7 linked regions of the Nothobranchius furzeri genome follow. The main gene of each other region encodes a partner of the protein of the gene in region 3 in a complex. Links are inferred from orthologs where the notes say so. Each region holds a gene or a part of one and is shown on either strand. Other genes may lie near its edges.

The links.
Region 1: med12 (region 3) and med21 share a complex: the UniProt entries of both Homo sapiens proteins name them as parts of the mediator complex. The link is inferred for Nothobranchius furzeri from reciprocal best matches to the Homo sapiens genes MED12 and MED21.
Region 2: med12 (region 3) and mediator of RNA polymerase II transcription subunit 13-like share a complex: the UniProt entries of both Homo sapiens proteins name them as parts of the mediator complex. The link is inferred for Nothobranchius furzeri from reciprocal best matches to the Homo sapiens genes MED12 and MED13L.
Region 4: med12 (region 3) and med4 share a complex: the UniProt entries of both Homo sapiens proteins name them as parts of the mediator complex. The link is inferred for Nothobranchius furzeri from reciprocal best matches to the Homo sapiens genes MED12 and MED4.
Region 5: the proteins of med12 (region 3) and ccnc are in contact, whole or in part, in a cryo-EM structure (PDB 8TQC), measured with the Homo sapiens proteins. The link is inferred for Nothobranchius furzeri from reciprocal best matches to the Homo sapiens genes MED12 and CCNC. Residues at the interface, in NP_005111.2 of Homo sapiens: Ile6, Leu7, Ser8, Tyr9, Glu10, Pro13, Leu14, Lys15, Arg18, Leu19, Pro22, Asp23, Val24, Tyr25, Asn47, Pro49, Ala50, Val51, Asp54, Glu55, His56, Gly57, Ser58, Ala59, Lys60, Phe64, Pro66, Ile69, Asn72, Phe73; in NP_005181.2 of Homo sapiens: Gly3, Asn4, Phe5, Trp6, Gln7, Tyr11, Ile15, Asp17, Gln19, Asp20, Lys23, Gln49, Glu53, Leu57, Arg58, Gln59, Ile62, Tyr153, Arg157, Pro158, Gln161, Tyr162, Asp165, Leu173, Pro174, Trp177, Arg178, Ile179, Asn181, Asp182.
Region 6: med12 (region 3) and med25 share a complex: the UniProt entries of both Homo sapiens proteins name them as parts of the mediator complex. The link is inferred for Nothobranchius furzeri from reciprocal best matches to the Homo sapiens genes MED12 and MED25.
Region 7: med12 (region 3) and med20 share a complex: the UniProt entries of both Homo sapiens proteins name them as parts of the mediator complex. The link is inferred for Nothobranchius furzeri from reciprocal best matches to the Homo sapiens genes MED12 and MED20.

What each region holds. Positions count from the first base shown.
Region 1 is NC_091741.1:59,846,851-59,851,494, forward strand, and holds the start of med21 (mediator of RNA polymerase II transcription subunit 21), read left to right. Parts: upstream 1-1,383; 5' UTR 1,384-1,433; coding exon 1,434-1,475; intron 1,476-1,811; coding exon 1,812-1,926; intron 1,927-4,100; coding exon 4,101-4,201; intron 4,202-4,644. Other genes in the region: fgfr1op2 (FGFR1 oncogene partner 2 homolog), read right to left, coding at 31-148, 395-529. UniProt on the Homo sapiens protein: Component of the Mediator complex, a coactivator involved in the regulated transcription of nearly all RNA polymerase II-dependent genes.
Region 2 is NC_091746.1:54,299,016-54,303,611, forward strand, and holds the start of mediator of RNA polymerase II transcription subunit 13-like, read right to left. Parts: upstream 3,246-4,596; 5' UTR 3,053-3,245; coding exon 2,981-3,052; intron 1-2,980. UniProt on the Homo sapiens protein: Component of the Mediator complex, a coactivator involved in the regulated transcription of nearly all RNA polymerase II-dependent genes.
Region 3 is NC_091741.1:82,330,162-82,334,107, forward strand, and holds part of med12 (mediator of RNA polymerase II transcription subunit 12), read left to right. Parts: intron 1-1,947; coding exon 1,948-2,136; intron 2,137-3,946. UniProt on the Homo sapiens protein: Component of the Mediator complex, a coactivator involved in the regulated transcription of nearly all RNA polymerase II-dependent genes.
Region 4 is NC_091754.1:35,372,922-35,376,134, forward strand, and holds the end of med4 (mediator of RNA polymerase II transcription subunit 4), read left to right. Parts: intron 1-1,984; coding exon 1,985-2,157; 3' UTR 2,158-2,299; downstream 2,300-3,213. UniProt on the Homo sapiens protein: Component of the Mediator complex, a coactivator involved in the regulated transcription of nearly all RNA polymerase II-dependent genes.
Region 5 is NC_091742.1:26,782,177-26,786,209, reverse strand, and holds part of ccnc (cyclin-C), read right to left. Parts: intron 3,411-4,033; coding exon 3,341-3,410; intron 3,197-3,340; coding exon 3,145-3,196; intron 3,054-3,144; coding exon 2,998-3,053; intron 1-2,997. UniProt on the Homo sapiens protein: Component of the Mediator complex, a coactivator involved in regulated gene transcription of nearly all RNA polymerase II-dependent genes.
Region 6 is NC_091745.1:8,284,106-8,288,788, reverse strand, and holds the start of med25 (mediator of RNA polymerase II transcription subunit 25), read left to right. Parts: upstream 1-1,755; 5' UTR 1,756-1,881; intron 1,882-1,915; exon of another isoform or gene 1,916-1,936; intron 1,937-3,252; 5' UTR 3,253-3,262; coding exon 3,263-3,387; exon of another isoform or gene 3,388-3,404; intron 3,405-3,477; coding exon 3,478-3,523; intron 3,524-3,614; coding exon 3,615-3,739; intron 3,740-3,831; coding exon 3,832-3,930; intron 3,931-4,683. UniProt on the Homo sapiens protein: Component of the Mediator complex, a coactivator involved in the regulated transcription of nearly all RNA polymerase II-dependent genes.
Region 7 is NC_091743.1:46,651,352-46,655,872, forward strand, and holds med20 (mediator of RNA polymerase II transcription subunit 20), read left to right. Parts: upstream 1-1,373; 5' UTR 1,374-1,465; coding exon 1,466-1,479; intron 1,480-1,891; coding exon 1,892-2,037; intron 2,038-3,232; coding exon 3,233-3,486; intron 3,487-3,569; coding exon 3,570-3,791; 3' UTR 3,792-3,980; downstream 3,981-4,521. Other genes in the region: bysl (bystin), read right to left, coding at 119-257, 373-529, 832-1,105. UniProt on the Homo sapiens protein: Component of the Mediator complex, a coactivator involved in the regulated transcription of nearly all RNA polymerase II-dependent genes.

The sequences.
Region 1 (4,644 bases), about 22 Mb from region 3:
TCACCATGAGTATTAACACTGAAAGACTACCTTTGTTTTCCTGCTGGAGTTCTCTGATCTGACGGTTCTCTTGTTGGATTCCCAGAACCAGACTGGAACGAGGCCGATGTCGCGCAACCTGGTTCAGTGCATCAATCTCTTCCTGGTACTGTCAAATGTGAAAAAATAAATAAATAACGAATCAATAAAAAGCTTCGCCCTCAGTAGTTATGTCCTGTAAACTAAACAGCAGTCAACGCTACGGTTAAAATATTCCATCATTCTTTGGAATGCACTTTACTTTCTTCTTTTGCATTATAGAGTGTTCAGTTATAGAATTAGTAAAATGTGACCCCTGGTGGCACTAAGCTAGTACCCAACAGCACATAAAATAGGAAAAAAAAAAATCACATACCGTTTTTATAGCCTCCACTCTCTTGTTGAGAGATGTTGTCTGTTCAATTAGCATCTCAGCGGCATTGTCGTGGTTACGAAGCCTTTCCACTAATGATTTGGCATCTGCCAAGACCTTCTCTAAACTACAATTCATACCTAAGGAAATACAGAAGCATAAAAACAACTTATTTTTGATTATTCAACAGCTCTGACTTGTTGGTATCAATTTATTGAAAATAAATATAATTAATGCAATACACTACGAATACATGCAAACAAATCAGTCCAGTAAGTACTAATCTTTATTTCTTCAAACTCAGCTCATTCAAAGATCTGTCTACTTCTATATTAGTTGTTCAGAATCTTTTTACAGACAGCCACACGAAAATACATGAACTTTCACTTCACCACACTCTGTAAAATAATAATAATTCACCAGAACGATCGAAATGAGCCATGAATAAACGTTTCTAAAGCTAAAGAACCTAGCTTGAACCTTAAGCCTCCTCGTAGGTGATAGCACGCTAGTTTACAGCCAATAATGCATTGATAGGTCATTTTACTCTAATAAGAGTTTTATTACTTAACATATTTTGCATTTACTGACACAATTTATCACCACAACACTTCATTAATCAAATATAAACTACCGAGGAGTTCATAACACCAACCGGCTGCTATAACTAAACTTGTAAGGTCCACAAAAGGCAGCAAAACTGACAAATGTGTGGTCATACCTGAAGAGTTCAAAGTACAAAACCACTTGGGTTGAGTTAGCTTCTTTACTTCCTGTTGTTGTTTGGTGGCTAACACTGGCTAAAAGCTGACGTTTACTCCGGATTAGATGCTTTGGCGCGTTCCCATTTCCTTAAAGCACGAGAGTAAATATCGCTAGTCATGAAAAAGTCGATTTAAAACCTATCCACATTACAAAAAACCAGCCGTGGGACGGTCACAGCCATCGCTTCAGCTAACTCGAAGCCTCTTGTTTATTTCCGCGAGACGTTAAACTCTCGCGAGGGTCACGTTGGGGAGTTTTTTATTTTATTTACGGCAACATGGCGGATAGGCTAACGCAACTTCAAGACGCTGTCAATTCTGTAAGCAAAACTATTGAAATATCCCGAAATATAATTATTTTCTACGTCAATAGTTATTTTTTTATCTTACACAATTACAACAAATGGATTTAGATAAGAAATATTTGCAGAATTATCGTTTCAGTCTTTTAAATGTAGCTAATCGCTAACTTGCGAGTCTAAGGTTTAGTTAATTTACACAATTTATCACAGCTTTTATGTTTTAACCAATGAACATGGCTTGGTTTAACTGGTAATGCAACTATCAGACTATACTGGCTGTTTATCTATTCTATATTCTTTTAAACAAATGTCCGGAGTTTTAAAACCCGTGTTTGTTTTGTTGCGTGTGAACAGCTGGCTGATCAGTTCTGTGATGCCATCGGTGTTCTGCAACAATGTGCTCCACCTGCTTCCTTCAGTAATATTCAGACAGCAATCAACAAGGATCAGCCAGGAAATTCAGCCGAAGGTTTGTAACTTCAAAGCAAAATCTTTATTTAAATCTCTTTTCTCCCACATTCAGCTAGCCTGACCAGTCATGCATCCTTATGGGAAGCATTAGTTCTCTGTGTAGAATTAAACAGAGGACGAGTCTGGCAGGCCAAACATGCTCACATGCCTGGTGGAAAAATCACTACCAAACTCTCATGGGTTATTTATTTTCCTATTCGAAGAAGCCACAATTTAATAAATTGTTTCAAAAAGGGGTTTCGGGGTTTAATTGTATAAAAGTAAAAATGCTAGTCAACAAGTGAAATACTATTTCCAGGATAAAGTTAAAACGTCAAGAAAAATGTTGAAATTTTAAAGAAAATTGTCAAAACGTCTAGGAAAAAAAGTGTTACCATTTCCAAAATAGCCTGAAGAACTGAATCTCAACTGTACCCTGCCCATCCCCAAAAGTGTCACTTTGTAATATTTAGTTGGACTGCCCTTCACTTTGATTGCTTCTGCAATGTCAAAAGAATTATTCCCATCCTGAGTTGCATTCATTTTTTAATGAGGATCCTGTAGAGATGTTGAACAATCAAACAGTTTTAACAATTGTCATCGCAAAGATTGTCATTGGTGCTCATTGGGTCTGCATCGATATGCCCTGATCTCTTTCATGGTTTGATCCTGATGAATTGTGGAATTGCCATCTTGAGGTTATACAACCTATTTGCCTTGTTAAATCCAGAAGGGATTTATTTTGTTACAGGAAGTGTTGTTCCCTTTTAACTAAAGGGACGTGTTTGCTGAAGACCCTTATTGTGAAAGACTGAAGATCTCCGAGTTCTGCTTTAACAAAAGGAGTTAAAACCTGATATTTAAAGGGACTTTACGGAGTTTTGAATTTTTATGCTAGCGATTGCCCCCTCAGGCCAAAAGTGTAATGGCAGCTTCAATAGTAGGCTCGTGCACGAGGCGCGCATGCTGTACGTGCACACTCCTTTACGAAAATAACAGCTGAGACAGTCCCTTGTGTGTGTGGCCCGGAGGACAGAGGACAGGAGAAGGTGCAGCTAATTAAATAATTTGGTTCTGTACCTTTCTCTTCAGCACAGCCGACAAAGGTTTAAGATGGGTCAGTCCTCCTGCATGCTCAGATCATTCCCTTCCCTTGCTTGAAAAATTGTTCCAAAATGAAAGTTGAACCCACATCTTTTTTATCTGTGAATTCAATGCCGTTCGGCAAGTGTCAAATAAAAATTTGGGCATCTTACTGCAAAAAAATATACCATTAATGTAATGTACATCCAGATTCGAACTCGAGTCTTCTGCACGAAAGTCCGTCGTCTTACAAGGCGAGCTAAAGCGCCAGTGACGTTCCTTGTGTCTGTAACATTTATATCCTTGATGACAGCTGAAACAACGTTCAAAGAACAGTTTGGAGGGCTATGCCTGAGCGTGAACACGGATGAAGCAGCCTGCTCGACCCGAGCAGCTCTCTTTTTCTGTGATTTTACAGAAAAACAGGCAATCACAGTAAAAATGCCAGGGCTCATTCTACAGGACCAGGGCATTGCAGGAGAATGTATGAAGAAGAAATTTATTATTTCTATACATGTTTTGGCTGTCAAACTTCCATAACGTCCCTTTAACCAAATAGTTATTTTATTGAATAGTTTACTGGGTAAAACATTCCTGTAACCGTCGGTTACAATGATGATAAAACTGGAACAAATGCAGTCTGATTCAGGGGCACAACAGGGTTTGTTTTCTTTTTTGGAAGTTATATTTTGATATTTTTCAAATTAAATTGTAATATTTTTCCTCAGTATTTAGACGTAATTATAGATGTTTAGAATTTGTTCCCCACTATTTAAAGATGGTTTCTACTTTTGTCTCTTGTCTTTTCTCAATGTTCTAGAAATAGTTAAGTGTTGATTCTTAACCTTTAAACTTTTTTTTCTTCATCCTGGAAGAAACAAGCTGACTTTGTCATCGACATTATGACTGTAATCTTGAATTTTTAAAATACTGTTGACGTTTGTCTCGACATATTGACTCATTCTTGGGATGTAGCCTTTATTCTGGGGGGAATATTTAGACTTTTCTTGTCATTTGGAACTATTATGTCGACTGTACCTACTTGTTTAGTTGCAGCAATGGCACTAACGCTCATTGCATTCCCTCATGTGTGTTTTCCCTCTCCTCTAGAATATGCACGGCTATTTGCCGCTCTTATTGCCAGAACAGCCAAAGATGTAGATGTACTGATCGACTCTCTGCCCAGTGAAGAGTCCACAGCAGCCCTGCAGGTCGGCACGCTCGCACTCACTTCACTCTTGCTTCCAGTAGGAGCTTCAGATCTGCCTGCATTTATGCTGAAGGAAATCATTCAGACTTCTACTAAAATCACAAGGATTGGTCTCTAAGAGATACCGACTCTTTGAGTTTAAGAAGTTTTACTGAAATAATGGCTTCACTTTGATCTATTTTAAAAAGAAGAGACCCAGTATTATTGTTCATGTTCATAAGAAACACATTTATTTTATTTTGTTGACCCAGAGTGTTACAGCTTTTTAATGTTATGGCCGTTAAAAACACTAACCATCATTTTTAGAGTTTCAGATTTATTTATTTTGTATTTTAACATAACTTTTTGTTTAGTATCGAGATCAAATGACCCTTTCAAAAATTGTTTTGAATTTTTGTAACTCAAGAGAGATGAAGCATTCTGAAGTTAAACATTCTGCTTGAC
Region 2 (4,596 bases), on a different chromosome or scaffold from region 3:
GTGCGCAGACCTGCATCGCCGTGAGTCAGGATGCACTCATGGCTTCCAAAGTGTGGGTGCAAAAGACAGTATGTGTTGCATTTCTGATTCATGTGTCTGTGTGGGCATTGGGGTATTTTCCTCTCTTAGTGTAGCTACTCGTGTGTGTGTGTGTGTGTGTGTGTGTGTGTGTGTGTGTGTGTGTGTGTGTGTGTGTGTGTGTGTGTGTGTGTGTGTGTGTGTGTGTGTGTGTGTGTGTGTGTGTGTGTACGTGTGTGTGTGTACGTGCGTGTGTGTGTATGTGAGTACAATGTGGTCGGTGTTTGAAGTTTGTCTCCCGAGTCTGCGTGGTTTACAGTGTGCTCAGTATAAACACACACACACACACACACAGAGGCTTCCTGTGTTGAGAGGCCTTTAACTGTCTCCTCCTTGCCTTTCATAATCAGGCAGGGAGTCACTGTTAAAGGAACCTACGCAGTCCACAGAAAGATGTCTGTCTTCCCTTCCCCTCTCTCATTACGCTCTCCCTCCTTAATTCCCCCTCCCCTCCTCCTCCGTGCTCTGGCTCACTCTTTCACTCTCAGTTTCTCTCAAATAGGCTGAGGCTTGCAGTCAGGAAATGTACATCAGTCATAATACGTTCCTAAAATGAAAACAGATTCTGCTGCAGTCCTTCTCTGCTGAAAAGCCTCACTCTGTTTCTCCTCTCATTCTGTGCCCTTTCCCCCCTCCTTCATCATGCCAGCTCTGCTTTTTTTGCACCCCCTACACACACACATGCACACACTCACACTTACAAGGGTCTAGTTTGCTTTCTGTCACAGATGGTTGGTCGCCAGCGCAGGAGACAGTTGTTTTGTGGGTACTGCGATTGCAGCCATCCCAAGTATCCGACGCTGGCCACGCAGAGTGCACGACAGTAATCTGCCATGTCCCTTTAAAGTCCCACAGTATGAGCACTTATGCTTTCTAATAAGCTGTTTTTGTTTGTGTGTTTTGCTGTTGTGAGTTGCAATAACAGTGAGCAAATGAGAGGAACAAGGTCCGTGCATGCTTGAATGCTGTTAAACAGGCTGTCAGAGGAGAGCGCTCAACAGCTAGCCTGAAGACCTTTATCTATAACAACACAACCTTTGTTACTCACAGGAAAAGGTTAGGAAATTTCCCACCATGGAGCCTGTCTTCTTATCATTTATTAAGCTCAAACCCAAGAAATTAGCCTATTAACATATGTCCCTATCAACTAATGGTTTGTTAGAATCCAAAATATTTCTATTCTGCGGCTCTTTTTAATTACTAACCCAAATAAAATGTCAAAACCATCAGCGTTTTTTTGTTTTTAATTTAAAAAACTGCCATAATGATGAGAATATAAAGATTGTAATGTCTCTAACAAGTGTCCATGATCTAACGAGGGAAATTATGTTACAAATGCAATTATCTTCTAGTTTTCTCCTAGTGAAAAGAGGAATTAGGAGCTAAACCATATCAAACCACATTAGAACAGCAAAGATGCCAATTAGCCATGTGCTCTGTGCTGTTTTATTAGTAGCCTTGAGAAGTTTTTCCTTGCAAACAGTCAACGTCGCATGGAAGTGCAGAGTCCGTCAGTCCAGAGCGCGTCTGTAGGACGTCAGACTATCTCTGCACTTAGGAACAGGACTGAAATGAGAATCGTAGTTTAAAAACTAAGGTGTGAGCTGCTTCTGTTTTAAATAAACTCACTTTTAACAGAAAATCCTCTTTAACCGTTGAACCCAGCCCTATTTCCACATCCAAATGCATTTTAAATGAGCACGTTAGTGTCTTTATCTCTGTTTCATTTTTACAGGAATTGTGTGTGTGTGTGTGTGTGTGTGTGTGTGTGTGTGTGTGTGTGTGTGTGTGTGTGTGTGTGTGTGTGTGTGTGTGTGTGTGTGTGTGTGTGTGTGTGTGTGTGTGTGTGTCATTGCTTATTTGGACTACCCTGCAGGAACCCTGCCAGTTAGACCGCCGAAGCACTTGCCAGTCATAAATATTCTCAACAAGCCAGCTGATGGATGGTCTCTTTCACCCTCAGTTTGAAAGGGATGTTCATGATGGCCAATAAAGCCTCGGTGAGTGAATGAAAGCTTTTTTCCACGAGGGAATAGCCTCAGATGAGATGGTGACAGAGACACAATCACTGTTTTCTGTTGTTGTCAAGCTGAGAAAATTTAAGATGTCTGATACCGGAGAGCATGTGTCAGTGCACGGGAAACCACACAAGATCTATTTCTTCTCGCTCGTTCACCTTGGAGACTAGAATGAAACATTCATAGGAGCTTTCTCAAGCCCCCTGTGCCACAATTTGTGGCGGCGATTGGCGTAACATGGTCCACAACCTGCAGGATCACCTGAAAAGCCCTCAGGACCCCTATGTTGTTGTGGTTCTCAGCAGCCCTGCTTGCCTGAGCTCAGTGCATGCCTTTCCACTTGGCTGCCTGTTGTGGTAAGACAGTTAACTCGCTGATTGCAGGAGGAAAACTGTGAAAACACACTGCTCTGCCTCCTTCAACCTCAAAAGCGATGAGTTGTGCAAAAATGACACCGCATGTAGTGTGAAAAACGTGTTTTTTTCTCTGATTCTGTGAAAGGGCTGCTTCCGTCGTGTGCCTTGTTGATGCAAATCTTTGTTTCTTTTCTTTAGACACGATTTTCCAGTTGGCAAAATGAAGCATGCATTGTTATCCTATTTCACAAACGCGTGGACATTTGGCAATAAATTATCTTCTTGTAGCTGCTAAACTAGAGCATTTGGGAAAAGATAAATATAAATAGCAGCTATTGTTGATCCGCAGGTTTAGTGGTAATAGTGGCTTTATTTTGGTCTCCCACACCACTAACCCATGTTAATGATTGTCTAATAACAACATCAGCAATTGGTTCACCTTTGTACAGCAGACACACATTTAAGCGTGCCTCCCATGGGTCTTATGACTTGTCTATAGCTGCTGAGCATGATTTATTCATACCGTACCAGAGAGAAGATGTTGGAATGGCAGTCCTCAAGGCTTGCCCCGTTAGCCACCCAATTCGCCGTTGCAGTCATAATCGTCCGCCTTTGGGGTCGCCAGCGCAGGGCATGTCGAAATCCTACATCGGTATCTCAACACCGAGCAGGGGTGACAGATGGGTTCCCTTAAGAGTCAGGCTTCAAGATAAAAGACTCGGGAATGGGCGTATTCAGAGAGATGTGTACAGCGATGCATCCATTAAATCCAATTTTTTTTCTTCAAAAATACATATAAGATAATAAATGTTGATAAATCCGAGCGCGTGAGTGTGATGAGAGGGGATCACAACATTGGTCCAATCCAGGTCATTCCAAATCTGATCAACAAAACAGTATCCATTTCAATCCACACACACACACATAAACACACACAAGGAATGTGATCAGTTTCCAAATAATCCAAAAGGCAAAAATCCACAAATCCTCAAAAAATGGGGGTGAAATAAGCGTCAAAGTTGGAAACGATGGTTATTTCACGCAGGAAACGTGATTCCGTGTGCTCCACAAAGCTGATGCACCATTTGTGATAGTTTTCGAGCGCTATTTATAGCCGCCTTTCTTGCCACAACCGCTCCTCTCTCACACAATGTAAGCCAGTCTGGCTCACACAAACAGGCGCTGCTGCTGCATGCGAGCAGGAATATTTAATCCCTCTGTTGCTCCTGAATCAAACGCGCCGCAGACGATCCGCTAAAAAAGAAACACAACCTTCCCCCCTTCCTCCGCCTCCTCCTCCTTCCTCACGCTGCTCCCCTCCGTGGACAAAAAAATGAAACTCGAGCGGGTTTCCAGCAATAAATAACCCCGAATCATGAGTCAAAGGCAAGACGAAAAAAGTCTAACACTCCACCGAGCAGGAAAACGACAAAACAGGCTGTAGATGGAGGTTTGAAAAAATCCTTCCTTCCTTTCAGCTTACGAAACCTCCTCTCTCACGGCCACAAAAGCCTCAGTGTTGCAGAAAAAAATATCAGACAGGTTTTCTGGGTTTTTTCTTCCCCTTCAAGCAAAAGTGACCGTCCTCGTCTGGCGCCGATCCCAACACAAGGCGAATGTTGCATTCTGCAGACTGCTTCGGCCGAATCGCGTGCTCCTGCCTCTCGAGAAGCGGTCGGGTCGTTGTTGGTTTAAATCCTCCAGCATGTGCATGATTTCCTCAACCGCAGCGACTCCTTCCTCATTGTTTATCTGTCAGACAAGAGTGCGTTATTACACGGCTAGATGGGCGTGCGCGCAGCCTGGATGTGCCACCCTCAGTGTGAATCGGTGTGAATGCGTGTGTGTGTGTGTGTGTGTGTGTGTGTGTGTGTGTGTGTGTGTGTGTGTTTTACGCGAAGCGCTGAAGCCTCTTTTTTTTTTCCTTTTTGCGCACGATCGTCCAGCCCACCACGCATTGTAATGTAATGGCGGTCGGAAGCGCTCAACAGAGACTAGCCTTTCTGTTTGGCCAAGTTTGTTCTCACATGACCAAAGTGTGGGATTACATGTCTCTGATGTGAGGCTGGAGGGGAGGACACGGTGGAGACACTGTCCCCAACTTCCCAAATGTGTCCCTGATGTGTTTGTGGAGAACATTTTTT
Region 3 (3,946 bases):
AACTCGATACTACAGTGAAATTAATTTACTCATCAGTTTACTGTGTATGACTCGTCTTTGCTCGTCATCAAGACTCTTCTGGTGCTGAGTTGTAACTGGAAATGTTTGCTCAGAGCAGACTCATTTGTTTTAATACAGACTGCAGTACCCACATTTGACCACTGAATGTCATTCTTTCTTCATGCACCTTTAATGAACAGGAGCATAAAGGCACCCTGGCCTTAGATAAGGATCCAGATTAAATAAGAAACATGATACTTTTAAAGGAATACTTTGCTACTCTTTCATATTTTTAAATGATTTTCTTGAGCCAGTATGTGTTGAAACGAACCTTTACAGGATTAATGAAAGGCCACCCAGGCCCTATCGCCTCCTGTGGCCAGCATATTCCACATGCAATTTCAGCTTGTCTGGCCGCCCTGTTGGAACTAAGAAAAAAATTGAGCTGGCGCTGCTGTCTGGTTCCAGCACGTCTTCTGTTGTACTTCAATTTAAATGAAAAGCAATTTGTAATTACAATGACTACAAATCAGACATCGGCAAGTCACATATATGATGTCACCATAGAATCTCCTCTCCCCTAGCGTAGCTTCTACTGACCAAATGGCCAGTTTCATGGTGGTTCTTTCCTCCTGATGGAAGGATTTGAAGTTGGCTGATTTTACAGCCACTTTTCCTCATCATTTCTCCATGTCTGATTTGATTACGTCAATTGGCGATGTGCATTTGTAGTCCTGGATGTATTTTCACACAAAACCTAAAATAACTTTTGCCTCCATTAGAAAATAACAAATTTAGTCCCACTGACTTGCAGTCAATTTTTCGTTCTTCCGGGGACCCATGGTCCGGAAGAAGATGGGCGTGACTTAGGCTCACTATTGAAGCAAAATACAGAAATCGCCATAAAAACATTAATAAAAAGGATCTCTTTCAATTAAACATGTTAAAAACTGTTGTGTCTCATTGGTTTAGCAAAGTAAAAAATACTTAATTAGTTTTGAGTAATGTTTTAATTTACCTGGAGGTTTTTGAAGAAAATCACTTAATTTTTCATAAAAATCTATAAAAAATGTACAGGACTGTATGAAATGTGTTAAAGGCTGTTGTTGTGGGATTGGTCTAGCTTAGTAACACCGTTGGGAATTAGGTTGGAGTATTTTAATCAATTTACCTGTAAGCTATTGACAAAAAAGTTTTACTTATAAAAAAAAGGTCAGATTGTATGAAATATGTTTCTAACTATTGTGCCTCGTTGGTCTAGTTCAGTAAGACAACATGGAATTGATTTTCAATAATTTAATTAAGACTAGAAACTGTTGACGGTCCCTAAGCGGACCACCGCTTTCATGAGCAAGTCCCCGGAACACAGCTGACCGCTGTCTCTCTCTGGTGCAGCACACGGCATGAAAATCTCCGGCTAACTGTGGTGAACTATGAGTGTATATCTGTCAAATGTCCAACATCCAACTGTGGTGCAGCGGAGTGAGGTGACACGAGGCACCCCATACCCTTCTCATGCATGGAAAACTTGGCAGCCCTTGCGAGACTGCTCAGGCCTGCTGAGGACCTAGTGGAGTGTGGCTAGACTGACCTGCAGAGACTTTTGCTCCTGCTACGGTCTCTCTACATTTCTAGGCTAAGGTTGTTGTCGTTTTAATAACAAAAAGAAAAAGCAGTGACAAGGAAAACTTTGCTTCATCTGAAAGGCTAACTTTTTTCTGTTACGTATACATTATCACTACATTTCAAAGAACTGAAAAAGAGAAAATAAACCTTAAAACCTTAGAGAAGCAAGCTGGTGCATTCAGTGAACTGAGACGTTCTTTGGAAGCTTTACCTTTTTTTCAGTGGGGGCTCTGAAGGGCATTAGAGTGAGAAGCCGATGAATTTAGACATAACTTTACTGAAGTTAGTTTCTCTTGCTGTAATACTTTTGTCCTTCTGCAGCAGCAGCAGGCTCAAGCTCAGCAGCAACAGCAGCAGCAGCAGCAGGTTCAGCAACAGCAGGTTCCTCCTCAGCAGCAGGTTTCACAGCAGCAGCAGCAACAGCAGCAGCAGGTTTCAGCCGTGGCTCCTCCAGGTCAAACACAGAACCAGGGTCTGAACATGCAGCCACTGCCCCCTCAGCAGCCCATGGTAAGTATGACTCATAAAAGCCTTTAGTTGTCCTCTGGTCTGCAAAATATAGTAGAATTTTAAATGACCCTAATGGTTGGACATTTATTTATTCAATAAAAAAACTTAATTGTCCAGTATAATCCATAAAAGTCCAGTTCTAATTAGTTTTTCTTAGTTCAAAATAAAAACAAAAATTTAGTGATGTACCGATATCCGATATTAAGATCACTGTTATGGCCAATAACCGATATTTGCCAATACCGATATACTGACATTAATGCTTCTAAAATCAGCAGATTTTGTATAGAATGAAAATTATTAAAGCTGAATTTACGTTATTACCGTAAATCCTCTAATACAGGCCGGTATTCAATTAAAGGCCGGGTCTCCAATTTTGGCCGGTGTCGGAGTCAGCGGAGGTGAATAATGGCCGGTCTCTTATTGTGGCCGGGTGGAATGTGGTAACAAGCAAGTACAAGCATCCCAGCGGCAGGGTTATAGTCCCCAAATCAACCAGCAGGAGCCAATAGAGGTTCACACAGACCTTTATTAGGCTTTTTCTTCAACGCTTTGTAACGCTACAGACACGATCCTCTATCACGCTCCTACCACACAGAGTCACGGTGTCAGTTAACCATGCTAATTCAACCCGCTCCACAGAACACACATCACCTTCCCTGTGGCTTACATAACACTCACACAACACGCAAATCAGCACATAGGAACTAGCAGAACGATAGGAAACACATATAACACAATACCCAGAATGCACCTGGCTTACAACCCCAGCCAGGTCATTACACTATCAAGTTCAAAGAGAACGTGCTGATTATGCTGCAGAACACTCTGGAGAGCAGCAGTAGGGGGTGTATGAACTAGTCAACTTCACTATAGTGACTTTTTATGCCTGTCGCTGTCACGTGATAATGACCGGCAAGGTGCAGCCCTCGGAAAAGACAGCAGCCTGCTGTCAGCAGGTGACAAGCTCCTGCGCTCGGGGGGGGGGGGGGGGGGGGGGGGGGGGCAACGCGCTGTGCCAGACCGTAGGTACTGACACGCGATCGTTCATGTCGGTTCATTTCCTTTAATGTTTTCTGTCTTTTATTTGCGCTTGATGTGTATCGCTGCTGTGGAGCGGGGCGCTTCACCTTGTCCTCCGACGCACAGATCACTGATGCGGCCTCCAAGCAGGGAGCGCTCCGCTGTTTTCGCGGTCGGTAGATCTGCCTCCTGAGCACGGCCACAGTAACAATCAGGTGTCGCCACCTCAAAAACTAATTTAACACGCGATCGTTCATGTCGGTTCATTTCCTTTAATGTTTTCTGTCTTTTATTTGCGCCTGATGCGTTTCGCTGCATGCTGTGGAGCGGGGCGCTGCCCGCATCACCTTGTCCTCCGACGCACTGATCACTGATACGGCCGCCAAACAGCGAGCGCTCCGCTGTTTTTGCGGTCAGTAGATCTTTTAGAACTGCAGTTCAAAGGTAACTCATGAGGTGAATATACATGAACCCAGGTAGCAGTTTTTCTTTAGGATTGAGAGGAGATGCAGGAAGATAATAAACAGACAGGACAGAAAAATAGTCAAATAAAAACAAGTTAGTTTTTGTACCTGGTGGTTGCAACAAACTGACACCATTGAAGGTCATCAGAAGTGAGGAACAGAAAATGAAATAATTATTTTAATGTTTAGAGCAGCAGGAACTCCGAGAGGCTGCAGGCGCATCAGTGAGTTTGCGGCCGCTGCGCAGGGGGAGGGGGGAGAGGGCTGAAGCAGGGGGAGTGGGGAGATGGCTGAAGCAGAAACTACCGTTGTTAAAAGAAATG
Region 4 (3,213 bases), on a different chromosome or scaffold from region 3:
TTTAAAACACAGAAACCTTTCCTGTGTTTTAAAAAGAACCAAAAACGCTCAGTTTTTTATTTCAATTCCTAGATCCTGACCGGAAGAGGAATTCGCAGCTGACCTCCGTGAAAAACAAACGTGATCTGCAAATTCTGATCGGCACTTTTCAGAGCTGAACACACCAGCTGTCTGTCGCCTGCAGAGCTTTCTCTCTGGTGGACCACACCGGGTTATGCCCACTGTAGCCCACAGGGATAATAATATAAAAATAAAAAATGTCACAACACACAGTTGTGACATTTTTTATTTCCTTTTTGAACTATTTAATCTGGTGTGAGTTTTAATGTTTAAATCTGTTAGATTGTTACTGACAGCAGCTACATTCAAGCTTCACTTTTTGTTCTGACTGAATGCTGCTGCAGCACGGAGGTGTCGACTCAGTCATCCTGGACATGATCATCCTGATGGTTTCAGTTATAAACAGCTGGACTTTTCTGGTTATGTTGGAGACATTTAGCCTCTCATCCCAGAAGCTTCTTCAGTTCCCACACTTTGGTTGTGGTCAGAAACAAACACACTTATAACATGTTTTTGTCTAAATGAAAGTGACCGTTACAGAAAGCAATCAAAAAAGAACAAGAAAAACCCATAAGAGTCATGTAGGATCTGAGCTGAGTTAGCCTAATCCAGACGGGAGGAGATGAGTGTAGAAGGATGGATTTTAACACTGTAATGCAGCAAAAATGGGGGGAAAAACAAGAACTCACAGTTGCAATGGTTTGTGTTTATCAGGGAAAGATGAATAAAATGCTCTTTAAATACACGTTTCACTGAATTTTGGGGAAACTTCCTTTAGATTCTTAATAAATTCCAACCAGCAGCTGAAGCACTTTTCCTTTGATCAAACATCAATAGGGCAGATCCATATAACCTATAAAGTATTATTTTCCTAATATCCAGAGGTGGATCTGTGTTAGCTGTGTAAAGTTTCACCACATCGATGCATAAACAAGACCTGGAAAGATGCATTTCAAATATATGAAACCACGGGACAACCGTCTCACCATTAGTCTTGGGCCCGACCGATATATCGACCTGCTGATATTATCGGCCGATATTGGGGTCATTAACAGTATCGGCTATCGGCTAAAAAGTCGGCTGATATGGCTGATATTGCGCTACCTACCCAGCAGATGGCGCCAGCTTTATGAATAAGTTTTGTGAATACTTCACCAAGTTAACTTCCACAGAGTGTTACTTTGTTACGAAGCACAAGTATTACGTTTTATTTATTGCTGCATTTTTATTATTTTAATATTCTTATAGGGATCTTCTGTCCCTAAACTTGTGTGTTGTTAGATTCCCCAGAGTTAACCAAGTCAGAAAAAACATGTTGTAACCAGTTGTTTTAGCATAAAGCAATGGAAGGGAAGGCTTGCATTCACCTACATAAAAACACTACAATGTGTGTGAATTCACTTACATTGTTTTATGCTAAACACGCAGACACACGGAACAGATCATATTGGGCTGTTATAAAATGCTTTTTCTGACTTGTCTAACTCTGGGGAATCTTAACAAGACACAACTTTACTGAGTGATGGAATGTTCCTTTAAGTTAAAATGTATTAGTGGAAACCACAGTTTACAAGAAAAACTTGAATGTTAGATTTATGCTGTGACTGAGTTTGTGTGTTCTGTTGTTTTTGAGATCTGCTAAATAAATCTTATTTGCATTACTTGGAACCCCTAGTGAGTTATGGAGACAGTTCTTTGGTGTGTAATAGAGAAATAAGTTTGCATCAAAAAGACAGAGAATGAAGGGTTTAAGCTTAAGAACATTTTTATTTCTTTTTTTTGTGGGGGAGATAAATCGGCCATTATATCGGCTATCGGCCTTTGTTAAAAGTTTTATATCGTATCGGTCCCAAAAAAAGCATATCGGTCGGGCCCTAATTACGTCCTCATCAGATTCAGTACATCCTTCTGTTTTGTCTCCCAGATGTCCTGACACCTCACTACCCATGGCAATCTTCAGACGTCTCTGTTGGGATGCTGCCTCCTCACCATGGTAATGACTTCGGCTTGGAGCCCCCCGGTCACAACAAGGAGAACGAGGATGATGTGGAGGCCATGTCCACCGACTCATCCAGCAGCAGCAGTGATTCAGACTAAAAGTGTGTGTGTGTGTGTGTGTGTGTGTGTGTGTGTGTGTGTGTGTGTGTGTGTGTGTGTGTGTGTGCTCAGTGATCACATGGTTAAATCTGGTGTAAACATGAACATACTCAGCTTTGTAAATAAACATCTTTTGAATAGATCATGAGTGTATTCTTTATATTTTTATACATGTGTATATAACGTAAGATGATGTGTTTCATATAAAAGCTAGCTAAGATGCAAGTTAAAGTATTGATATGCACAAACGCCTAACTGGTTTGAACAGGTTTTATCTTAGATGAAATGTGACTGACTGGAATGGTTTTTCAGATCGACCACACCCAGTCAAACCAGTTTCATTTTGAGAATGTGTTCATTCACCTTTTTGTTCCTTTTGGACAATAGCGTATTTTTGTTTTTGTGAAGTCTTTTTTCTGACACATTATTGTAAATATTGATGTAAAATGCAGAATTCACATGGGGATAACACCACTAATGCACGTTAGCGCCTAAAATGCATCCAGAGGATGGATAACATGTACAGGTACTTCTAAAAAAATTAGCATGTTGTGATAAAGTTCATTATTTTCTGTAATGTACTGATAAACATTAGACTTTCATATTAGATTCATTACACACAACTGAAGTAGTTCAAGCCTTTTATTGTTTCTAATATTGATGATTTTGGCATACAGCTCATGAAAACCCAAAATTCCTATCTCAAAAAAATAGCACGTTTCATCCGACCAATAAAAGAAAAGTGTTTTTAATACAAAAAATTCAACCTTCAAATAATTATGTTCAGTTATGCACTCAATACTTGGTCGGGAATGCCCACATCACTGCAGATGCAGCACCAATCTGCCTGTCAGTCTCTCGAACCATCGTTCCCTCACTTGTAAACATTACTCCAAGATACTTAAACTCCTCCACTTGGGGCAGGTCCTCATCCATGGCCCCGGAGAAGGAATTCTATCCGTTTCTGATTCAACTCCATGGTCTCGGATTTAGAGGAGCTGATTTTCATCCCAGCTGCTTCACACTCGGCAGTGAACTGCTCCATCAAAAGCCAGA
Region 5 (4,033 bases), on a different chromosome or scaffold from region 3:
GTGCAGCCGGTGCGAAATGCATTCCACGCATCTGATCCAGCGAGATGATTAAGGCCTAGTCCACACGTAGTCGGGTTTTTTTTAAACGAATATCCGCCCCTCCAAAAACTTGCATCCACACCACCTCGTTTTAAAAAAAACTCTGTCCACACGTACCCGGATAAATACGTTGATAAGGACATGCCAGACCTGTAGGCGGCAGTACTTCCCCCGTTCTTAACCTCGTCCTTCGTCTGTGGTCTTCCACAAGGAGCAGTAATTCCACTTGCAAAAACAAACAAGCAGAAAGCGCTTGGACAATTGATAAAGCGAGCGCAGCTCTGAGGGCTTCCATGCTGTCGGCTAGTGTAAACACAGGTCGCACACGTGATGTCAGCATTTTTTTGTCGCGGAAAGTGACGTTGCGGACCTTAAAACTCCAGTTTTGTCTGTCCACACGCAGACACCCAAAACGGAGAAAACGCAGATCTTCACTTTGGCCGGAGTTTTTAAAAAGATCCGTTTTCGTGTGAAAAAACTCCGTTTTCGTGTGGACGACAGGCCAAAACGTAGAAAAATATCTACGTTTTGGCAGATCCCCGGCTACGTGTGGACAGGGCCTTAAGAAGATAGCGGACTTGGGTGACTGGAATTACCCACAATGCATTGCTGCAGGAGAAAAGGCTCAAGTGCCTTTTCTGAAAAGATGTACTTTCAAACAAAAGTAGTTAATTCAAGGATGACTAATTAATGCTCTGAATGTTTTAGACGGAGCAGCAATGAATATAAATTAATTCAAATAATTGTTTGGTTGTTTGTTATTAAAGTTTTATTTTTATTTCTTTTTAACCAGCATCCCGGCATGCGTTGTGGTCGATGAGGCAATTATTTGCACCTCTCTCAAGCATGCTCAGGTTAAACCGCTGCTAAAAAAACCATCACTTCCTCCAAATCATGTGGAGAACTACCAACCTCTCTCTCTCCTCCCTTTTCTGTCCAAAATCATTGAAAGGGTGGCTTTCAAGCAGATCACAGAATACCTCTCACAAAACTGTCTGCTTGACCCTTACCAATCTGGGTTCAAAAAGGGCCACTCCACTGAAACTGCTCTGTTAGCAGTGACTGAATCCTTAAAAGATGCTAGAGTGACTGCCAAACCCTCAGTGCTTATCCTGCTCGACTTATCGGCTGCATTAGACACTGTCAGCCATGACTTCCTTTTGTCCACACTCTCTAGCATGGGCATCACAGAGAAAGCACACGCCTGGTTTGAATCGTACCTCACAGGACGATCATTCAGTGTATCTTGACTTGGACAATCTTCTAACGTGCACCATCTTGCCACAGGAGTCCCCCAGGGCTCTGTACTAGGGCCTCTTCTCTTTGTTATATACACCACCTCACTGAGTGAGATCATTCCATCACATGGCTTCTCCTACCACTGGTATGCAGACGACACCCAGCTCTATCTGTCATTTCCGCCGGACGACCACACTGTCTCTGCACGAATATCAAACTGTCTCTCTGACATATCAAAATGGATGAAATCCCACCATCTCCAACTCAACCACTCTAAAACTGAACTACTTGTCATCCCAGCAAAACCATCCATACAGCACAATATCTCAATCCAGAATGACTTCCTATCTCTGGCTCCTTCAAAGGCAGTTCGAAATCTGGGTGTTGTGATTGATGAACACCTGACCTTTAAAGATCATGTTGCCTCTGTTGCTCGTTCATGCCGCTTTGCGCTGTATAACATACGAAAGATCAGACCATACCTAACACAACATGCCGCCCAGCTCCTGGTGCAATCTACTGTCATCTCCCGCCTCGATTACTGCAACGCCCTTCTAACTGGTCTTCCAGGCTGTACTGTGAGACCTCTTCAAATGGTCCAGAACGCAGCGGCGCGTCTGGTCTTCAGTCAGCCAAAAAGAGCACACGTCACCCCTCTGTTCATTGAGCTCCACTGGCTACCGCTAGCAGCCCGCATCAAATTCAAATTGCTAACACTAGCATACAAAGCCTGAGACGGTACGGCTCCCATCTACCTGAATCCTCTTGCAAAGGCTTACGTCTCGGCCCGGCCGCTCCGGTCATCACAGGATCGTCGACTAGCAGTGCCTACACCACGCTCAGGACAATCCAGACTCTTCTCATGCATCGTTCCACAAATGTGGAATGACCTTCCAAGCACTACCAGAACAGGGGCTTCCTTTTCAGTTTTCAAGAAACTCCTGAAGACCCTGCTCTTCAGAGAGCATCTTCTTAACTAGCACCTTGTCTGCACCCGTCCCCCCTCTCTACTGTCCACTCCTTGTTCCCTCCTCTCCATGATTCATCATGCTGCCTCACTGCCACCTACGACTGACTGGAAATTGGTTGTTGTTAGCCTCAAGGGCAACATGCTGATTATCACTTGTAAGTCGCTTTGGACAAAAGCGTCTGCTAAATACATAAACATCAACACTTGTGTACCACACACTCAACGCCTTACTGTGCACATCCTCCTAGTGCCCTTCACAGTGTCTGTAGGGCGCAGTGTGAGTTTTGGGATGGAGCTTTAAAGGTCTGTGGTTGGTTTTCTGTTGTTTATCTCAGCTGCGGAGGCGTCACGGGTAATGACAACATTTTTTACTAGTTTTACTAGCAACTGGAAATCTGCACATCTTATTTTGAAATTTGCCAGATGTGTTCTACTGCTCCCATGTCTGACTTCATGTTTGGCCTGATTTGAACGTGTAAAGGAAGTGCAAAAAAATAAAAAACAGAACATAAACTTTAGCAGAGCGGCGCTACAACACGCCTCTGGGACGTCCGACACACGCCGCTGTTCGCCGACTACAACGGTGGCTAGGCTACTAGCTGCATTGCATTTTGCAGATGTCGGTGTCTCTTGGTGGAAAGTTAAGACTCAAAACTTTAATCAGACACAAGTGATCCAATATGCTTCCGGCCTTTAACGTTTTCTTAACGGAGATCAAATAAAAACTGCAGGAAAAATCCTTCACTTACATGATTCATTCTGTAAGGGAACTCCTTTGGGAAGGCATAAGAAAATCTTGTTTTCACTGTCAAAGAAAGAAAGCGTGAAGCTAAAGCCGTTGCTCAGCATAAATGTTATTTTACTTTTATTTTGTAGGATTTCTGGCTGTCACTTACAAACAGATGTTGCTGCAGAGATCAGCCTGGTGTTGGACACAACTCCAAATTCCTGAAGGAAAATAATTAAGGTTTGCTAGCTCAGGAAAACAATAAGATATCAAAAGGAGCAAAATCCAGTCAAGATTTCTTCATTTAACAAGGTCGCTAACTTACAAAAGTAAAAAAAAATAAAATCCCCCTGAAATTTGCTTACCTCTACTTTAGAAGCCAGGAAAACGCAAGTCGGAGCCATGAGCACCGGGTCTATACTCTTCAGAGAATACCTACACACAAAACCGTTTCAGTACTCCTGCTGTAAAAGTAGGATTTATGGAGAAAGTCTTCACACACAAATAACGGAGCTTTTATTTTGGAAACATTTCCATGAACATTGATCCGCTAAGCCATTCTTAGTCTTGTACCGCAGCCCAGACATCTTCCAATCTTTTCCCACAGCGGTTGTAGGAACCAAGAGAGTGGTACTTTTCCTGGCAACAGTAAACTTGTTAAATTCTGGTGCCGGTGTCGGTACAGGATCTGCTCGGGGTCCTTCGACTGCAAATGACGTCAAAGTACGGCAAACCCACTCGGACAAAATCACTACGCATCTAAACTGTTGGAAAGAATTTAGCAGTTTCGTTATTAAATTAATGTTTATTAAGACGTAAGTTTGTGTTTATAATGGTATTTGTAAAATAAAACACTATATTGTATTCATGATGTTGAACTCCTCTTTGAGCACATCCCTTGAAGGATCATAGGTATTAGCAACACCTGTGAAATTGTATTTGCAGGAAAGAAGTGTGTCCCGTTTATTGAAGTATTTTGTGTTTAGAGTTTTTGACGTCTTGTCCATGCGTAGTTCAGTTACGCTCATAGCTGCTAGCCAAAACTCTGGAGTTAAAAG
Region 6 (4,683 bases), on a different chromosome or scaffold from region 3:
ATTGGGCATGTTGTGATCTGTGTGGGAACCTGGAGTACCCGGAGGAAACCCACACATGCGTGCCAATACAGTGGAACTGCCCCTGACATGACATTGCAGAGCTGCATCAACCAACAAGGCCCCAGAACATCCAGGGGTCTCATTTATCAAACATTGTGTAGAATCCTTACTAAAACCGTACTTAAGCTCAGCAAAAAAACTGTACTTACGCCAAGAAGGTTTGTGATCTATCAAACATGGAGTACGCACAGCTGCACGCAATCTCCGCTTCATAAATTGGAGACTAACGAGAAAGTTTCTCAGCTGCATTTTAGTCACATCCCGCCCTCACCACACCCACTTACTGCCATAAATAGTCAGTGCAAAGTGCCTTGTGGATCTTATGCATGTACATAAGCCGGCTGTTGCAGCGCTCCGCCAATGACGATGGCGACCGTAGATCAAGGCAGATCAAAGAAGTGCTATTTCACAGAAGCAGAAACTGAGGTACCTGTGGGTGAGGTGGAGAAATGAAAGAAAGCGCTTTTGCAAAACAAATAAGAGGAAATCCATGGAGTGGCACAGCGTTGCTGAAGCCGTCAATGTTGTGAGTTCTTCAGAGAGAAATGGGGCAGATATAAAAAAAAATGGTCCAATTGGGATTCGATCCCCAGACTCCCGGGTGAAAGTCACGCACGCTAACCAGTCAGCAAAACAGAGATCTCCCTTGCCTAAGTAGCCAGGGCACATCATCAATTGGGTCACAGTGACAGGACACACACTGTCACAGACGCATGACATTCTGTCTCAATCTGTCCCCCTGCTGATGTTCTGCATTCCGTATTCTGCGCTTCAAGCTGTGTGTGTGTGTGTTTTTGTGTGTGTGTGCGCACGCGCGTGTGTGTGTGGGTGTGCGCGCGTGTATGTGTGCGCTCGCGTGTATGTGTGTGGGGGGGTTCTTGTTCTGTGTGAAAACGAAGCAGTACAAGTGATAATGCTGCAGGATTTCATAATTGTATCCTGCTCAGCAGCAGCACTGCAGGTGCTCTCCATGTCCAACATTTGTGTAAGCCAGGTCCTTATCCAACTTAAAGTTGCTCACATTTTTCTGCTAAATTTTCTTTTATAAATCCCAAAGTTTGCATGGAAAGTTGCTTACGCAGTTTTCTGACCCCGTGTTATAAGCAAGCTTGATAAATGAGGCTCCAGAGGCTTAAAAAACTCCAGGTGGATCTCCTCTCCATTCAGATCCTTGCCACCAAGGAGCTTTTCATGTTATACACACCCATACACACACACATACACACACACACACACACACACACACACACACACACACACACACACACACACACACACACACACACATACATACACACACACATTGAGTTTACTACATTTGAAAATAATCATAAACTGGGTGTGAGAATGGTAATACGTTCATAAAATAACTTTGAGTTGTTCTGGGACTTTGATCTCACCACCATCAGTGGTCTTTCTGCAGAACTGGGCTCTTTTCTCATGAAAGAGCAGTTTCAGTCTAAAATGAAGCCACAAACAAAACTATAGTTGTGTAAACATTTTACAAAGTAATAGGTAAAATCAAAATGAAAAGGTATTACATTTAGGACACATGTTTTCTCTCCTGAAAAGAATCTGTGTGAATGAGGTTTGGTGATAATTACTTAGAACAGAAGGGGGCAGCACCGCGCTGTTCAGCCTCCTGTCTGCAGAACGAAAATGGCGAAGAAGATGTTTTTAGTGGCGGTCGAGGGTCGTGGCGTCACTTCCGTAGAAAATTACCTAAACACGGTGATGTTAGCTGCTCTGTTGTGTTTATATTTGGTTTAGGTTCGTTTTGTTTCTCATTTAAAGCCTCCGCTGGTCGCAGAACACCATCAGGTCAGTTCTTATCTGCTGCTGACCAGATTCTATGTGAAGCTTGTTGGAACTTTTGGTAAAAATCGCACTTTTCTTGCTAATGCTAATAATGATGTTCATGTTGTGTCTTCGTGATGATGAGCAGGTCTTATTCACACCTGACTCTAGCGTTCAGCTAAGATGAACAAAGTTCTAATCTGCTGTAGGATTTACGTTAAATCATAACTTTTCTTATTTCCAGAGTGGGGCTTTTCTTAACCCTGCAGTGTTTACTTTAGACACTACAGGATGTTTTATACACTTAGCCGCCTATATGTAAAAACAGCAGGCTGTCTCTTATGTGGAAATAACTATGGGATTCAAAGTCCATTTTGCAGGATGACTGTACTAAATAGAAAGCGGTTTCTCTGTTTTTTCCACCTAGACTTGATGTTAGAAGCTTCACAGATAATCCCTCATACGATTGTGCGAAATATAAGGTTATTTATAATAACTTAATACCCAACCCTTTTTCTTATCTTCTGAAATCGTCTTTCCCTTCTTCAGGTTGTTTGGTTTTCTTTTAGAAGTTTTTCCTGTACTTTTGTTGCTTTTTAGTCGTTTGTATCCAGTTTATGCTCTTGATCATAACAGTGTTTTGTCTAACATGCATGAAAAAGTAAGGAATACCATCAAGTGGAAGATGAAGAGAAGTGTCAGATCTCCAGTGGAGGAACAGTTTCTGAAAGTCATCCCTCTATAAAAATATCGAAATCCGTACATGTGGAAGGTCCCTCGGATGATCATTTACTGTATGAGAGCTGCACAGTAGCAGAAATTAAAACATGTATATAGCAGGTTATTATTGAGATTCAAGCAGATCTTTGCTTTACTGACCATATATTTGCTATGTACAGAACAGTTCTATGCCGTATCACATCTTTATAGCTCCTACCTCTTTGGGAACCACCTTGTTGGTGTTGAAATAACACTTTTTGTCTGACTGTTATTTTTGGTGTTTTTCTTAGGTAAAAACACAAAAGAAGCCGCATGTAACAGCAAGCCAAAACAGATTTAGTTTGTTTTCTATGTTCTGTTAATGTCTTGTACCGGTTCAGGGCAAACCAAATAAAAATCATTCTTCTGTTATGGTCCTATGCCGGACAGAAACGTAGCAGAAAAGAAGCCAAAGTCTTAAGAAAACAAGAAAGTTTGGCTGCTTGAAAGCAAAATATGAGGAAATGAAGTTGGACTTGGAACGTTAGCATCCCACTACTTTCCCCATTTAATTATTAAAGTGTACACATGTATGGTTCAGCTCTGTATTCTATCAAGTTGCTGGAATTTGTTTAGATTTCTTCAAAAGCCTTAATAATTTGGTTCATTCCATGATGAGATCATCTTAATGTCCAGATCAGCGTTCATGGAGCCTTCCAGTAAACCTGGTTTCAACCAGGTGGCTGATGTGGTGTTCGTCATCGAAGGAACAGCCAACCTCGGACCGTACTTTGAATCCTTAAGGAAAAACTATATACTTCCAGCAATTGAGTAAGAATTCCTTAAAGGTAAAGGCTGTTAGTCTGTGTCTGCTTTTGGTTAGTTATGGAATAATATTTTTGTTTATTTTATCCGTCATAGATATTTCAACGGAGGGCCTCCAGCAGAAACAGATTTTGGTGGAGATGTGAGTGGTATTTTTATATTGTTTTTGCTGTGAGTTTGGGAGGTATTGTTGTTCAAAAACCAAAAAGACCCTCTGTTCTCTGTTTTTATAGTATGGAGGAACCCAGTACGGCCTTGTGGTGTTTAACACGGTTGAGTGCGCTCCTGAATCCTACGTCCAGTGTCACGCACCAACTAGTTCTGCCTTTGAGTTTGTCTCATGGATCGACAAAATCCAGTAATGCTTTGGGAATAGCTGCAAAGTTCTTAATGCTTAATATCCATTTTTTAATTGAAAACATGATTGTAATTTACTTTTCTTTCTGCCAGGTTTATGGGGGGTGGAGCAGAGAGCTGCAGCCTGATTGCTGAAGGGCTCTCTGTGGCTTTGCAGCTTTTTGACGACTTTAAAAAGATGAGAGAACAAATGTAAACGAGCATTTCGATTTTGATTTGCTGAAAAGAATTTGTCATAATAGTTTGTCGTAATACTTTTCTTAGTTTAGTCAAATTAGAACTAGGATTATGAAATTTCATGTGGAACACAAAAAAAATTTCTTTAATCATTATTTCTGATTATAATTGGTCATTCTGAGTTTTTCATGCTGGCTGAACATGACAACAGTCTCCTACACCTATCTCCTGCATTAGCTTCTGATATAAAATAGACGGTGAAACTCTAGGATTGGAAAATCCACACAGATCTACATCACACTGTCACTTAATGGGCTCGACACACGGGAGGCGACAAACGACCGCGATCAGCGAAATTTGTTGCTGTCGCTTTTATTACCTGACACACGGGAGGCGGCCAGCGCCAAAGTCGTCTACGCGTTCTGTTTCATGGCGAAATCTAAACTTGCGTTGTTTTGCTTGGCTGTGTCAGGTTGGAGGGAATTAAGGTTATTTAATCTGTTCAGAGTTAATAAAGCGATAGATATGATGTTTCACAAGTTACTGTTAGAGTTATGTGAAATCTTACTTGTGATTTTACTATATAAAACATAATCAACTTCTCCTCCATGTTTGCTCGGAGGAGTTTACGGAGTATCCTGTCCGCTCTTTGGTCAGTGAATGAAACCTCCGTTGATTGGTTCTCGTCCGCGACAGCGATGAAAAGTTGAAAATGTTTCAATTTTCTTGGATCGCTTCGCTGGGTCGCCTGTGCACGACACGTGTACG
Region 7 (4,521 bases), on a different chromosome or scaffold from region 3:
AAGTCTTAAATTTGGCACCCTTAAACCTGCAGATACCCTGGGAAAAGAACAAAGTAGGTGAGATCATTTTTAACAGGAGAACACATTTCAACATAACACAAACAACTGTATAACTTACCTTACCGACACCCCGGTAGACCTCGGTCACCCTAGGGTCCAGCTGGGGCATTGGAACCCCTGATACCTCAGACATCACTGTTCCCACCTCGGTTTGCTTCTCTGTGATCTTCTCCATGATAATATCAGCTAAGGTCCGCCTGTGATGGTCACAAAGAGGAAAACAGCTGAGTATACGAACATAAACTTAACCTCAAAGTGGACTTTAGCAAATTCCAACAGCTAGAATTCAAACAAAGTTGTGAGAAATCTTGCCTCATTGGAGGGTTTTTATTCATGAACATCTCAATGGCCTTCTCATCATCAGAATCAACGATGACTTCAGTATCACCCTCCACATCACCATCCCCAGCACCTGCTTCTCCCAGAACTGGCCAATCTTCATCTGAGTCAGCATCCTGGGACTCAGGGCCTAAAATAAACAGGTCAGACAACATTAGAAAATATTATTCATGCATTCAGCAAAGACTTATTTCACCTAAATAGTTCTGAGAAGATCACGCTGGGAACTATTTTTCTCTGTGATCGTCTGACATTTTGTCCACATAAAAAACATTCGTCATTAGTTTTATTTTTGCAGAGAAATAAAGGGATGTTGCATAAGTAACACCGTATAACTAATTACAAAAACACTTTCGTGGTTTCTACGCTTGATAAACCAGACTTAATTAAAAAAAATACTGCCAATTTAAGGTCCGAAACCCTCCATCATACCGAGAACAGTGACTGGTGCTTTCCTCTGCTCAGGTGCCAGGCCATACTCGGTCTGCAACTCCTCTTGTTGAATCCGGGCCTGTTGTAAGATTTTCCTTGACAGACGTTCATCCACGTAGGTGTCCTCACTTTCGACCCGGGCGTCTCGATTCTTCACCCGGCCTCGGGCTCGGATCGTGTCCGCCTGGAGGATCTGGTCGGCCAGTGGCACCGCTCCTCCTCCGCCACTCTTCTCTCCTCCACCGCCACCTTTAGCTCTTTTCACTTTCGGCATCTTTCAAGAGTGACTCAAGCTGCGACGACGCTGTCCGTGTTTTGTTTTACCATTAGAGACACAAACAACGCGGAGAAAGAATTCTGTAAACAGTCTGTATTCTACACGTGCAGATTACCGTACGGCGGAAGTGACGATATACGTAACGTCTGTGCACTGAAAAACATATATATAACATACCATTTTATATGATGTTGATTTTATATGTTTGTATGTAACATACATTTATGCAATATGATTATAAAGTTTCTTGAGTTTGTTTTTTAATTTTCTGAAACAAGGTCGTTTACGTGCACCGGAAGTGTAAATGTTAATCCGGAAGTAATTGCTTCACGAGTGTTTTTTGCAGGCGAGAAATCAATGGGTGTTACTTGGTAAGCAGATTTACTTATGTTGTAGTTAAATGCTAACTGTAATAATATTTTTGTAATATATTTTATCACGCTGTGCATATGATTTCGTTTGGCATGTGTAGCTAACTCGGTGAATGTAGCCTTTATTTGCTTCCAAACCGTTTTACACTGAATAGAATAGTGTTTATTGTCGTTGTACGGTGTACAGCGAAATTAGAGTGCCACTCTCTTTAGTGCAAAATGGAAAACTATACAAAAAATAATACAGAAATAATATAAATGTAAAATGAACAGTAATATATATATTAGTTGGGTTCAGTAAGCAGAATTTTAGCATATTGAGTAAACAGAAATAGGACATTCAAATGTTATTGCACATGATCAATTTTGAACAGGTTGCTTCACGGTGTTGTGTTGTTCTTGTGCTGTGCAGTGTTTGCCAGGTGCCCGTGGCGGAGGGGAAGAGTGTCCAACAGACAGTGGACATTCTGCATAAGAAGCTGGAGCAGCTTGGAGCTGTGAAGCAGGGCAACTTCTGTGTAGACTGTGAAACATATCAATCAACAGTAAACGCTGGCGGTAATTTTCAGCTATTAACCATATAAATATTATCATTCCTGTTGTTTAGGTGCTTTAGATGGATAGTCTTCTGCATTGCTATTAATACAACTTGCTGCAGGGGAATTTGTCATATTTCTTTGATTAAATTCTGCTTTTTGAAAATGTTCTAATAATTATGTCAAATATTTGACTTAAACTCAATTGTCCAGGATATGTGTGCCTTGTGACAAATATATTGTCAAGCTATGTAATTTTCATTTTTACTGATCTTATTTCTCTGTAAGGTTAACAAAAACAGTCATCCATTGGGTAAAAATAGCCAGATTAAAATACAGTTGGTGTGTTTTAGAAAGGTTTTCTGTAAATCTTCATTACTATGTTATGCAAGGTTAAATGAGCCACGTTTCCACTGTATCTTTCCCCAGAAGTCAGGAACATTTAAAAAGCCCCATCCACTGCAAGAATCCGCTTAAATTTGTTTAAATGGGACAGCAGTAGCTCAGGAGGTAGAGCGGGTTGTCCAGAAGGTTGCAGGTTCGATCCCGGCTCAGACCAAAGAATTCTGCTGTTGTGTCCTTGGGCAAGACACTTAACCTGCCTTGCCTGCTGGTGGTTGTCAGAGGGGCCGATGGCACCAGTGCTCAGCAGCCTCGCCTTTGTCAGTGCGCCTCAGGGCATCTGTAGTGACATCATAGCTCATTCCCACCAGCGTGTGAATGTGTGTGTGTGAGTGACTGTGTTGTGAAGTGCTTTGGGGGGATGTAGAACCCTGTGAAGGTGCTATACAAACACAGGCCATTTACATTAAGCTCCTTGAAAAATAGTTTTTATTTTTATGTTTTATAAACATCCGCAACCCGGGGTCTATAAACGTTTGATTTGGCATTTATCTTTCTAAGTTACTACTAGTCTTTTTTTTCCAGGTTTCCACCAATGAGTCCATTAGCAGAGCAGTAAATCATGATCTAATTTAGCTCAAGTGTCCTCCAGAAAAAAAGGTGTCTGCTCTCGCATCCCTCATAAGCAACATTTATATAAACAGGACATGGTATGATTCTACTACTTACTTGTGTAATTTTAAACTTAATAAGCATGCTGCTCTAATCTGTGTCCAAAAATAAAAAAATCATGCAAAGTCATTATGCAAAAATTGCATTGTTACATTTTGCTGTTCTTCATGCAATTTCTCACTTTAAGTCTGGGTTTGTTACAGGTCAGCCCTCCAAGCTCCTTTATGTAATGCACAACTCTGAATTTCCCCTGAGCTGCTTGGCTCTGTTTGAAGGAGGACCCTGTTTGGTAGCGGACACAAACTTTGACGTCCTCATGGTGAAGCTGAAGACCCATTTCCAGAATGCCAAGGGACACAAGGTGGAGTGTCGCGGTTCGAGATATCGCTACTGTGACTTCTTGATTAAAGTTGGCACGGTCACAATGAGTTCCAGTGTTCGAGGGATATCAGTGGAGGTGACAGTTTGGTATTATCAGTTAGACCAGAGGCCCATTGTTCTCTTTTTTGACAGGATTAACCCTTGATGTGTTTTCCTCAGGTGGAGTACTGTCCCTGTGTGGTTCCAGGGGACTGCTGGAACCTCATGAAGGAGTTCATGCTGTCTTTTCTTGGCAACAATGTTCCTGAGCTTCCCACTGTATTTGCTGCCAAGCCTGAGGGTCTTTTTGCACCAGCAGACTCTGTCGACACCATGACTCAGTACCTGGAGTTGTTCAACAAGCTACGGAAGTTACAAATCACAGGAAGCAATGTGCACTAATAACATTTTTTAATGATTGTATTGATGTGTGTTAAATGTGGTCCTATGGAAACCGTATGATTTGTATAGTTCTATTTTTGTAACTTCAGTTTTGTATTTGTTTACCCTGATACAGTTAAAAGGAATACAGCTACAATCTATAGATGCAAATGCTCAACACAGACAAAAATAAAGACAAAAATCTACCTATTTCTGCAAGAAGTAAAAATTCCTTACACTCGGTGGGGAAATGTTGGTGTCACAGCAGCAATCATTCACATCAGGAGCAAAGAAGAACAAAATCCTGTAACATATGCAAGAAATTCTTAAAACATTCAATCGAATAAAAAAAATCTGTGCAGATAGACGAAGTTTATAATGAGGAGTGATGGCATGAAAGGAGAAATGTGTAAATAGGGACCTGGGATTACTCTCCGTGCACCAATGGATGCAGCATTCTGCCGCTGTAGGAGTTCCCCAGCTTCATGCATGGGGTGGAAGACATTGTGTAAAAGTGATGCTAATTTAGCCAGTCCTGTATCCCACCTCCTGCACTAGATCAAGGAGAAATCCTAGGGCAGATGTAGTGTCAATAAGCTTATCTAGTCTCTGTCTTTCAGCAGTAGCTATGCTGCTGACCTAACAAACCACACCATCAAAGATGGCTGATGCCACCATTTAGTCAAGGTCTGTAGGAGCACCCCCTGCACTCCAATGGACCTCAGTGGCATCAGCGGGTAGTGTGCTCTGG